Nothobranchius furzeri: one gene and its partners. The protein of the gene in region 1 interacts with the protein of each later gene in a biochemical or structural test. Links are inferred from orthologs where the notes say so. Each region holds a gene or a part of one and is shown on either strand. Other genes may lie near its edges. The genes, in order: siah2l, dlst and rbbp8.

What was found.
Region 2: the proteins of siah2l (region 1) and dlst form a complex in vitro, tested with the Homo sapiens proteins (2 studies listed by BioGRID, with this or other methods). The link is inferred for Nothobranchius furzeri from reciprocal best matches to the Homo sapiens genes SIAH2 and DLST.
Region 3: the proteins of siah2l (region 1) and rbbp8 form a complex in vitro, tested with the Homo sapiens proteins (2 studies listed by BioGRID). The link is inferred for Nothobranchius furzeri from reciprocal best matches to the Homo sapiens genes SIAH2 and RBBP8.

The regions. Positions count from the first base shown.
Region 1 is NC_091750.1:26,755,745-26,759,394, reverse strand, and holds part of siah2l (E3 ubiquitin-protein ligase Siah2), read right to left. Parts: intron 2,490-3,650; coding exon 2,310-2,489; intron 1-2,309. UniProt on the Homo sapiens protein: E3 ubiquitin-protein ligase that mediates ubiquitination and subsequent proteasomal degradation of target proteins.
Region 2 is NC_091758.1:32,793,838-32,797,487, reverse strand, and holds part of dlst (dihydrolipoyllysine-residue succinyltransferase component of 2-oxoglutarate dehydrogenase complex, mitochondrial), read right to left. Parts: intron 3,301-3,650; coding exon 3,170-3,300; intron 1,104-3,169; coding exon 1,030-1,103; intron 959-1,029; coding exon 875-958; intron 784-874; coding exon 616-783; intron 424-615; coding exon 289-423; 3' UTR 1-288. UniProt on the Homo sapiens protein: Dihydrolipoamide succinyltransferase (E2) component of the 2-oxoglutarate dehydrogenase complex. The 2-oxoglutarate dehydrogenase complex catalyzes the overall conversion of 2-oxoglutarate to succinyl-CoA and CO(2).
Region 3 is NC_091747.1:41,227,094-41,231,268, reverse strand, and holds the start of rbbp8 (DNA endonuclease RBBP8), read left to right. Parts: upstream 1-1,358; 5' UTR 1,359-1,449; exon of another isoform or gene 1,450-1,507; intron 1,508-1,704; 5' UTR 1,705-1,724; coding exon 1,725-1,824; intron 1,825-1,910; coding exon 1,911-1,953; intron 1,954-2,037; coding exon 2,038-2,133; intron 2,134-2,859; coding exon 2,860-2,951; intron 2,952-3,118; coding exon 3,119-3,191; intron 3,192-4,065; coding exon 4,066-4,175. UniProt on the Homo sapiens protein: Endonuclease that cooperates with the MRE11-RAD50-NBN (MRN) complex in DNA-end resection, the first step of double-strand break (DSB) repair through the homologous recombination (HR) pathway.

The DNA of each region.
Region 1 (3,650 bases):
TGGAGCTTATGACAGTGAGGAATATGATCAGTCACTTCGCTGCCCTTCTCGAGGGCTGTCATGTCGAAGTTCACACAGACAACCAGGTGGCGGCAGCCTACATAAATCGCCACGGGTGGAGTTCGATCCCTCCCACTATTGCGTGTAGCCACAGATTTACTGTGTTGGTCACATGTCCACCTGCTGTCCATCAAAGCCACCTACATTCTGGGGGTCCTGAATGTAGCTGCAGACATCCTGTCGAGAGGGGGACCCCACGACTCCGACTGGCGTCTGCATCCCGCACTGATATCACAGATCTGGATCAGGTTTGGGGAACCATTGGTGGGTCTGTTCGCGGCTCGCGAAAATGCTCAGTGTCACCTGTGGTTTTCCCTGAGTCCCCGGAACCACCACCCGCTCGGAGCGGACGCCTTCTCACACCAGCCCTGGCCTCAAACACTCCTATATGCGTTTCCGCCAGTCCCACTGATTCCCCGTCTCCTGGACCGAGTTCGGTCGGAGCAGCTCTCTGTAATTCTGATGGCTCCCAGACGCTTGTCCGCGTCATGTTTTCCAGACCTGCAAGTGCTAGTGTCCGGCTCCCTGTGGAGGCTCCCGTGGAGGGCGGACTCCCTTCTCCAGGCGGATGGGATAATCAAACATCCTCCAGAAATAGGCCAACGGCTGTAGGTCTGGCCGCTGAGCGGTCACGCTTAGAGGCTTCTGGGCTGCCGCATGATGTGGTGGCCACGATTCAGAGTGCGCGGGCGCCCCCTACCGTCGCATCTTATGCTGCTAAATGGGCAGCTTTCCAGAACTGGTGCACGGAGCGAAATGTTCAAGCGCTCTCCTGCCAGCTGGCGGATGTCCTATTGTTTCTGCAGATACTGATGGACAGGGGCCTCACATTCAGCACTATTAAAACATATGCTGCATCTATCTCATCCTGTCACCAGGGTTTTGGAGATAGATCTGTTTTCAATCATCCCCTCACAAAGCATTTTCTAAAAGGTGTCAGAAGGAACAGACCTGTGTCCCGCCCACTATTTCCCCAGTGGGACCTAACGGTGGTTCTGCGTGGCTTATCTGAAGCCCCATTTGAACCCTTGGACCAGGTCTCACTCAAGTTCCTGTCACTCAAAACTGCCTTGCTGCTGGCGCTGGCATCAGTCAAGAGAGTGAGCGACCTAACCGCCCTCAGTGGCTCCCGCATGCCTCAGGATCCGGGAAGATGGCGGGTCTGCGGTTTTATGCCCCAACCCAGCCTTTGTGCCCAAAAACATTAATGCTTCCTTCAAATCCAGGTCAATTTCATTGGCTGGACTTTTTCCTCCTCCCCATAATTTTGATGAGGATGCGGCTTCCCACCTTCTCTGCCCGGTGCGCGCGCTCGCACGACATGTGTCACGCACTTCAGGGATTTGCTGCTCACAAAGCCTGTTTGTGCACTACAGAGATTCTTCCCTTGGGCAAGCGCTGTCGACCCAGCGTCTTTCACACTGGCTTTGTGACGCCATTTCACTCGCTTACACATCATCAGGGCGGGATCCTCCTGAGATTTCCTCTTCTATGGCGCTCCACAGTGGTGTGTCGATGGAAGACATTTGTCAGGCTGCTTCATGGGGTTCTCCCTGTTCCTTTACTCGTTATTACTCACGAGATGTGTCTTCAGGCTCCATCACTTGTTCAGTGCTTGGACCTCAGCAGGCTGAGTGAAGGCATTATGGCACCACATCAGCCCTACTTGAATGAATTTCATCCTCTTGTGGATGATAATTTTAGTGGGGCCCCACTCTTCTCTCTGGTTGCCTCAGGCTTTTAAGCCCTGGGCTGCGGCTGAGCGTCCCTCACTAAAAGGAGACATGTTGCGTGTGTCCATTGGTTGAGCTAACCAGTGTGGCGTAAACCAATCTAGCTGCGCATTATTCCAATAGCAGCTAGCTTAAGGGCTAAGACTAGACGAAATAGAGCGTTGGTTACGTATTGTAACCCCAGATTCTATGAGTCTAGTTGCAGCCCTTAAGCCACTGTACCCACTGGTTCTGTTAGGACTAAGAGCCATTGGAGGCGAACAGTGGAGTTGCTCCACTTATATACCCACAAGGGGTGCCCACCATTGGTGGGCGTACATTTAAGCTCTTCATGATTGGCTGATGCTGAGATCATCCTTCCAATAGCAGCTAGCTTAAGGGCTGCAACTAGACTAATAGAATCTGGGGTTACAATACGTAACCAAAGTTCAGGATTCTGAAATCCTGGTCAGAGGATTCACACACAGAATCATGAAGTCAGGGTCAGAGGTCCTGTCGGGGGCTGAGGGTTCTGACCTGTAGTGTGGTGATGGACTTGTGGGCGTGCATCAGGTGAGGCATGACGGCCTCCAGTGAGCCGTGCCACTTGCACGTTGCTCCGGGACACGGACAGGTGTAGGGTCTGAACTCACAAACCTCCTCATGGTCAGGTTTCTCGCTGTGGTGGAGCGACAGCTGGCAGCCGGCTGATGAATACTGCAGCAGGATGGAAAAGACGGAGCAGCTTCAGCAACACTCCAAGATAAAAACGTTCAGACTTCCTCCTGAGCTTCTATTTAACCTGAGATGTTCCGACTGCTGCTATAAAAATGAACTAACGTTAATTATTAGTTAGCCATGAACAGGGCTAGTTATTAAAACTCATAAACAGGAATAGTTTTTAGTTACTAAAAAACTAGACTATTATTAATTTCTCATTAATAAGACAAGTTATTAGTTAGCCATGAACATGAATAGTTTTTTGTGACTAATAAAGATGACTAATTATTAGTTACTCATAACTAGGGTTGTCACGGTAACCGGTGTAGCGGTAAACCCCGGTAAAAAAGTTGACAATAATAATAACCGTCTTGTTTAAATATATATATTATTCCCATTTTCTTGTAGTTTCTCAAGAAAAACTATTTTTTTGGACATTTTACTTTTCTGTTTCTGGTGCTGTGAAGCTTGGAGGATTTTTACTGCTATTTTTTCACTTTTTGAGCATTTGTTATTATGTGTAACCATGGCAACAAGCTGGTTTACAATCGGGAGCAGCGGATTATCATTGGAAAGGCTGAAATAATACCTCAACTGAAGCCACAAATCCCAAATGAGCTAAAACGCAAGAAGCGTGGGTGAAGAGCGGGAGCAAAACGGAGATAAAGAGGAAATTCAAACCATCTCTTCCATCGATCGTAATGGAAAATGTGAGATCACTGGCCAACAAGATGGATGAACTCCAAGCCCTTTCAAGGACTCAGCCAGAGTATCGGCAGTGCAGTGTTATGTGTTTCACTGAGACATGACTGCAGGACCATATACCCGATTCCAGCGTCTCTCTGCCAGGATTCCTGATGGTACGAGCAGACGGAGATCTGTAGAGGAGCAGGAAAAGAAAACGAGGTGGAGTGGCAGTGCTTTTCAACAACAGATGGTGCCATCCAGGTCATGTTTCAGTGAAATGTCGTCTCTGCAGCCCAGATGTTGAACACTAGGCAGTAAGTTGTCGCCCATATTATTTGCCAAGAGAGTTCACCAGTGTTGTCTTGGCAAACGTTTATATTCCACCTTCAGCCATTGCTGAAAGTGCATGTGATGCCATCAGTTCTGTTGTCGCTAAGCTACAAGCTACAGTACATCATGCCTCGCTCTCTG
Region 2 (3,650 bases), on another chromosome or scaffold:
CTCAAGCTTCGCGTAGAAAATGACAAATGCAAATAAGTTATAGAATTTCTTGTTTGATCCAACGACCAGCACCAGAAACCTCAGAGAGACCCAGAACAGGACCAAACCTTTAATCCTTGCCAGTCTTACAAATGTCCATTGCACAACCCAACTGTTGCCAGAAATAGATTTTCCTAGTTAACCAATAAGACGATACATCAACTGTAGTTATGGTAATGTTCATTGAGTGTTTACACAGCCGCTGTTGGTGTGGGAAGTGGTTTGGTTGGGCCCGGAGCAGACGAGGGTTCACATGTCAAGGAGGAGCACTCTGGGGTCCTCCACCACCGACTTGATCTTACGTAGGAAGGTGACAGCCTCTCTTCCATCGATCAGACGGTGGTCGTATGTTAGCGCAACATACATCATGGGACGGATCTCCACCTAGGAGGAAGAAAAGTAATCACTGAAAAATGACCAATAATTATTTGCTAAATTTGTAAACATATGCAACATTTAAATGTGACCCCCCCCCGTTTACTTGAGAATGTAGCCTGGTTGCTCATAAATAATGGAGTAAAACCTACAGTTGTTTAAAAGCAGACACGTTTCAGCAAATGACCAGAGGATACAAACCTTGCCTCCGACTGCAACCGGTCTGTCAAAGATCCCGTGCATGCCCAGAATAGCAGACTGTGGAGGGTTGATTATCGGTGTGCCGAACAAGGACCCAAACACACCACCGTTGCTGATGGTGAAGGTGCCTCCGTCCATGTCTTCAACAGCCAGCTCATTCTTACGAGCCTAAAAACAACATCCAGACCCAGTTATGCAAACATTTCATCACTTTTCATGCAAACGTGTACAATTTAAACAATTTTAATACGATAATCACCTTTTCTCCCAACAAATTGATTGCTTTCTCGATGTCAGTAAAGTTCATCCCCTCTACATTTCTTATGACGGGAACCACCAAACCCTGGAAAAAGAGAACATAGCCGAACGTTCTAGCTCTTTGTTTTTCCTTTCAGTGAAATCCACTTTTCTTACCTTCGGTGTAGCTACAGCCACACTGATGTCGACATAGTCCCTGTACACAATCTCTTTGGTTGTATCATCAATCACTACAAACACAGAAAATAGGATTATTATGATTTAACTTCTCCAGATTAGACTATTAATCACCACTATATTTCTGGCAAGATCAAGTTCTTTCCTTGTGAACCGCTTTCTGTCACATGCAAAGCTAAGAGTTGTGGTAAGTGAACCCACAGGGCATTTCAGATCTTTAAAAGGCATCAGCATGCACCACCCTAGCTTCACTGTGGTCTACCTAAATAGGTCAGAGTGGTCTAGAGCAGTGGTTCCCAACCTTTTTCCCAAGGGACCCGTTTTTTACCAGTAAAATTGTTGACGACCCCCTCCCATTCTCTCTTCCAATAAACGTTTGACACATAAAAAATACACTGAGCAAAATGTACTTAAATGTGTATATTACTGTTTTAGGGCTGAAACGATTCCTCGAGTACCTCGAATAATTCGAGTACAAAAAATCCTCGAGTCAAATTCTCTGCCTCGAGGATTCGTTTAATTCATATTTAATTAATTTGTGGCTTTGCAGTCGCCCGTGGTCATGTTTCACCCAGACTGAAATAAGTGACGCACATGCCCACTGGACTGCACACGCGAGTAGCGAATGTAACTTAACTTTCTCTTAAGCCATGGCGGACAACGTGGACCCCGGTGGAGTGCGAAAAAGACAGAAAATGTCAAGATGTGGGACCATTTTTCACGTCGTTAGGCGGAAAACGTACTCCAGTGTAAATACTGTAAAATGGATTAAGCCTACCACAACACCACATCCTCCATGCTGCAGCACCTGTAAATGTCTCTTCTGCAAGCGGACTCGGAGCCTCTACAAGATAATGCATTTTAGCCTGTTTTTCTATATATTCTGTGGACACTGTGCGACTTTTTCGTTTGTAGCAGTCAGTTTCAGCTCACACCGTACGTCTGGTAGCAACACGTCGGACTTAAAATGTGCTAAAAATAGCAGTTTTTACACAAAACGTCGGACTTTTTATTGTGTTATTGATGTTTGTTGTCCTTCGGGATTGCTGCAGGAGGACATGGGTATTTATGAGAGGAAAACGAAAGAAAGTAAATAAATGTTTTGTGATCAGTATAATTTGACAAAACCACGGCAAACACGCTTTCTCGACAATCCTTGTTATTGTGTGAGAAAAAAGTGTTGAAATTAAAACGAACGTGTGTTAATAGGGAACAGCCGGCGAGCTGTTTGCGCATGCACCGTGAGCGGTTCTGGTTCTGTTTGGGCCGCAGCCGCTCGCAGCGCTACTTCAACAGTTATCCTCCTAGTTTTTGTCTGGCTTGCAGGCTAGCAGATTCTCGCACGAGGGGAAAATCGGCTCAGGTTGTGTACTTATTTTTTGCACAGCCATTTGTTTACTGTGAAGTAAAGTTGAAGTGCTGAAGTTTTGAAAACTAATTTTGAATAAAACTTGAAGAATAACTGGCAATAGCTTGCTCATTTTAAGAGGTCTTTCATATTTTATAACATGCTATTTGATAAAATGGTTTACAAATACAAAAGGGTAATTTATTAGAGTACTCGATTAATCGAAAAAAATATTCGATAGAGTACTCGATTACAAAAATATTCGATAGCTGCAGCCCTATACTGTTTATACTAGATTATTTACTGTAAAGGCTGTGATTAATCAACCAGTCCTATCTTTAATGAACTTTTGACACTTGAAAATAAAACAGTGAGCTGAGCAAAATGTTCTTAAAAGTGTGTTACTTTTTCTGTACTAATTATTTCCTGTCTTAATATCAGTAAACTTTTCACTCATTAAAAAAAATGTGAGCAAAATGTGGGCTATAAACAAGTAATAAATGACGTTTTAACCCCTTAAAGTGGAGAGGCCCTGGCGACCCACTGAGAGGCTTTGGCGCCCCCTTGTGGGGGTGGGGACCCCCAGGTTAGGAACCACTGGTCTAGAGGAAGTAAATAAGTTAGAGATGGCTTTGAGGTTGCTGAAATTAAAAAATAATACATTGAAACTTTCTTCACTACACACACACTTGACGTGACTTGACGCCACACATGCAGACGTTCCAAAACTAACACCAACATGTTGAAGGTTTCCAGAGGTAAAATCTTTACCGGCATTGACAGCAGGTTGGTCTGTCAGAGCGTACGCAGCAGCCTTTACGAATGCGGACATGAAGCCCAGCTTGATGTTGTGTTTTTTTAGGAAAGCATCCTTGTACACCTTTCTCATCTCCGTGATGTTGCTGCAGGAATAAAAGCAGGAAAACACAGAAATCCATCAACACTTTTCAAACGCTTTAAACAGGAAGAAACAACGAGCTGAAATTATTCTCTTGAGAAAAATATTTTTGTTAACTATGAAATCACGGCTCTACAGCTATAGTGGGGGAATAGAGCTATTAAAAACGGTTGCTAATTGTTTCAGTATTGCTCATTCTTCACTTGTATCTCTCTTTTTAATTGTTTGTTTTCCTGTCTCTAACCCTGTTGAAGTTCTAGGGTTTCTCCGCTAACGGAATTAGCCCCTCCCAAGACACAGACTCTCCGAGAAAGGAGAGAAGAAGCGATAAAAATCTTCACTTTCTAGAGCCTG
Region 3 (4,175 bases), on another chromosome or scaffold:
ATTCGGCGCCATCTTCACCCCTCCTCTTCCTCCTCCTCCTCCCTGCCAGCATCAGCACCTCTACAGCCTGCTGCGTATCTCACATCCCAGCTGCAAAGCCTCCAGGCACACCTTCTGTGGACTGTCATGCAGGTTTTATAGCTTAAACTCTGAAATGTAAAGGGAGTTTTGTTTTAGTTTTATAGTTTTGAAATGTCATTTGTTATGTTATTCTGGGGAAATATGTAAATGATGATGACTGCATGTGTGTTTATGTAAACACACACACTCGCACTAACGCTAGCTTGATCTACCTGCTGTGACAGATGCAAAGTCAACAAAAGGCGCACGTCCAAAGGAACAAAAGAGTAATAATCTATAATGCTGAATCATCAGTGACCATGACATCAATGTGAAAGAAGAAAAGTTTGTTCATGCAAAAATAAACCTGCATGTCGAAGAGCAGGTCAAACTCAACTTTTCCCTTGCTTTGCATTTAGATAACTGTTATTGTTTTTTAAGTGATGCAGTGTTTGCATTGTGTCTTACCTTTTTTATATTTCAGGAAAAAGACGGAGCTTTATGCTCGCGTCTCCGACCAACAACCATTCTGCGTTTTAGTTTAAATCAGTCTGTTTAATTTCTGGTCGCATTATTAAGAGTGTTTTTGTTTTTTAGTTGTTTCTCCTGATAGTCCGAAGCAGCTTCAGTTTGGTTGAGATAAATGTTGGAACCATTGTTTTATTTTTGGCCAGAAGTGTTATGGTAACAAGCAGAAAACGATATTTAAATTTGTTTGCACCTGCTTTAATGAGAATGAATGAGCAACAACAGTGTTGTTTATGTATTAGGAAATGTCTTAAGATAGAAACCATCAAAATGGTGCCATACAGTGCTACATGCTTAGCGTCTTAGACCGTGATGTCACTAGTCAGTTTGTATTTGTGTATCTGATACACTACATCATTAAATCACTGCTAAATGTTGATATATTAGGAACTGGAATGATTAAACTCAATTGTGAATAGCACTACTTAATGAAGGCACTAAGTCAATACAATTAAAGTCTCTTAACCTTTGACATCGCTCGCTGTCTTACCTCAAAGCTAACCCACCAATATCACTGTTTCAGACATGCTTCTCTATGTTGCCTCAGTCACCTCAATTAAATAATCTGTTTTGTAAATGTTATTTTGTGATTTTGGGTTATGTTTTGTACTCTAAAAAATAAAAGCAGAAATAAGAATAAAAAAACCACCTGTTTTATGTTACAGCAAATTGCATAAGTACCTCCCATCGACATTAATATTGTGGGGGCTTGGTACCTCCACGTTTAATGGGTACATTTACTCGGCTTGAACAGCAGGGGGCGACAGAGTCGCACATACACGAGAATGACGTCAAAAGAAGAAGGATTCCCATCATGCATTTCGGCGCGCAAATTTTGATCTTCGACAACAGCATTACTATGTAGGTTTTCAAATGTATCAGTTTGTCTGCTTTTAAGACTTTCTTTGAAGCATTTAGTGTACGTATTTGTGTTCTTTGTGCGTTACGTATGTTTACGTAACATTGTTTAGTTTTAGCGACAACGTAACAGCTGTGTGATGCCACAGGACGTTGTTTGTGTTTTAGTGTGAATAACTAGTTATATGTTGTGTGTTGTAGCTTATCAGCTGTTGAATGTTGTAAATTCCACCTCTAATGAAGATATTTCCGGTCTAGCCTGTTATCATCTATGGAGGATGAGCAGTCCGGGAGACAGCAGTGGGACAGTCAGACATGCTGATCTGTTTGAAGTTCTATGGAAACAGCTTGGAGAGTGTCATCAAAGCACAGTTCAAGGTAACTGAACTAATCTAATCGTGTTGATGCGTGTTTTAGTGGTTTTCGCACATGCCAACACTATTTGTGATTGTGACTGTTTGTAGAACTGGAGGCAAAAGTAAGCAAGTTAAAAAAGGACCGCTGCTTGTGAGTATCAGCTTTTGTTCACTAGTAGGGCACGCTTTCCCTCACTTTATTGTTTTGTTTCATTAAGTTGTTTTAATTATACAGAGATGCACAGAAGCTGGAGGTGTTCTATAATCGCAACCAACAGCTTAAGGAGCAAAATAAAACTCTGCAGGACACGATCGGTCTTCTGGAGGAAAGGTAAATGACTCAAACACACACTTGGGTCATCATCATCATGTTGACAACATTAATTGTACTTGGGACTGGTATGGATTTGTCTCAAGTGAATCATTTACAAACCAAGCAAACTAGAAAAATAAGAATTTTCCAGAAATGTGTGGCAGAGGTATTGTAGAGATTACCAGCTTCAATCTGGCCTCTCTCCAGGATCTGTGGGTCTCCAGGGACTTGAGGCACACTAGAGATTCACCTTGACTCCTCATACCCTGAAAATAACCTTTTCATGTGCTGCCCTGTAATCACAGACAACAGTCCACCAGAACCATTACCTCATGGCACAAGATCAGTTTCTTCCCATCAGCTATTGGACTATGGGCTGCATGGCGGCGCAGTGGTTAGCACTGTTGCCTCGCAGCACGAAGGTCGCAGGTTCGAAACTCGGCTGCGGCCTTTCTGCGTGGAGTTGCGTGTTCTCCCCATGCATGCGTGGGTTTCCTCCGCGTACTCCAGTTTCCCCCACAGATCACAACATGCCCTGTAGGTTATAAATTGTAAGTCGCTTTGGATAAAAGCGTCTGCTAAATAAATAAACATAAACATATTTGAACATTCCCTAGAAAATCCCAGAACCTGCTGATTTGTAATCTTCTGTTATAGCGTCCAGTTATAATCATGCATCTTTGTGTACTTTATTATAAGTAACTGTGTGTGTATCATTAGTGTTTTGGCGTTTACTGTCCCCAGACTCCGAGCAGCAGAGCGTGATCAGTGTGCTGTTTTTGAGGAGAAGCTGAAATCCAACCAGGAGCAGAACCTTCATATTGTCACAAAACTAAGTGAGTTTGTTCCGGTGATTAATCTGAGCTCTAGATTATTTGGTGTTAAAGAGTAAAGAGTTGTTTTTATGTGAGTGTTTCACACAGACCAGGGCAGCACAAGCTAAGATGTTTTTGGGCACAATCATGCTTTGTGAGAATTGTGTTTACGGTTTGTCTTCCTTCAGAAAATGAGAGAAACAGACTGGAGGAAGAAAACAGAAAGCTGTTGAATGAACTGCAACAGTTAAAATCAGCTCAGTAAGTTCTTCTTAAAAGTCTGATTAGATTTTTGGGTTGTTGTTGTTTCAAAATTATTACAAATGTTAACATTTTAGTTTCTTTTTTTTTTTTTTGCAGCCAGTGTTGCGTAAAACTTTTCAGATAGACACTGTTTCTCCTGGAGAGGTTTCACTTCTGGTTTACAAAAATGAACTCTTCTAAATTTGAAAGCTGACTATAATAAGTGCCGTGTTCCACTGAGGAGCTTTGCCTCAGAGACTTGTTCTGCATCAGCAGTGACGTTTCAGTTCCTGGTTTAGCTCTGTAGAGGGTGTGGAGAGCAAACAAGTATATAAATAATTCAGTTTGTATTTTAGTTAACTCCAATTACAAAAATAATGTAATAAAAACATAACACTATTAAAATTGTTTTGTCACATTTTACTCAAAGGTCTTAAAAGGTTAGAGCAACATAAGATGGCAGAATGAGGGCAAAACACACCTGCAGCACATGAGTCTTCATAAGCCTCGCGTATGCCTCTCTGGTGAGAGGTTATGTTTTTCTACACGGTTCTATTCCAGGCTCGGCTGTTCCATTTTATATTCACATACTCCTTGTTTGGGCCTCCAGGCTTGTTTATACTAGTGCTGCCTGTTTTTTTATGTGGCTGATTGTTCAGGTAGATTAAGTTTAATTAGCTGGTGTGTCCGTGGGTTTTATTCTAGAGCAGACGTAAGGCTGTGGTGATGAGCATTAAAGCAGTTCAGAGGAAATGTTTTTTGTCTCATAATTTATCCCTTCATCAGTTTGAATGACCAGTAAGCTGCTGCACTTTAGTGTTTCCCAACTCAGTCGGTAACGATTTCAGATTCCACCAAAATAATTGTGATGATGATTATTTTCCTAATCAAGCAGCCCTACTTCAGAGGTAGGAAGCCCGGAGCAGGAGGAAGGATTCATCCCAGACTCACCAGTCCTGCCAAGCTCACTTCCTGTCCCAAACAAGCTGAAGAAACGGAAAC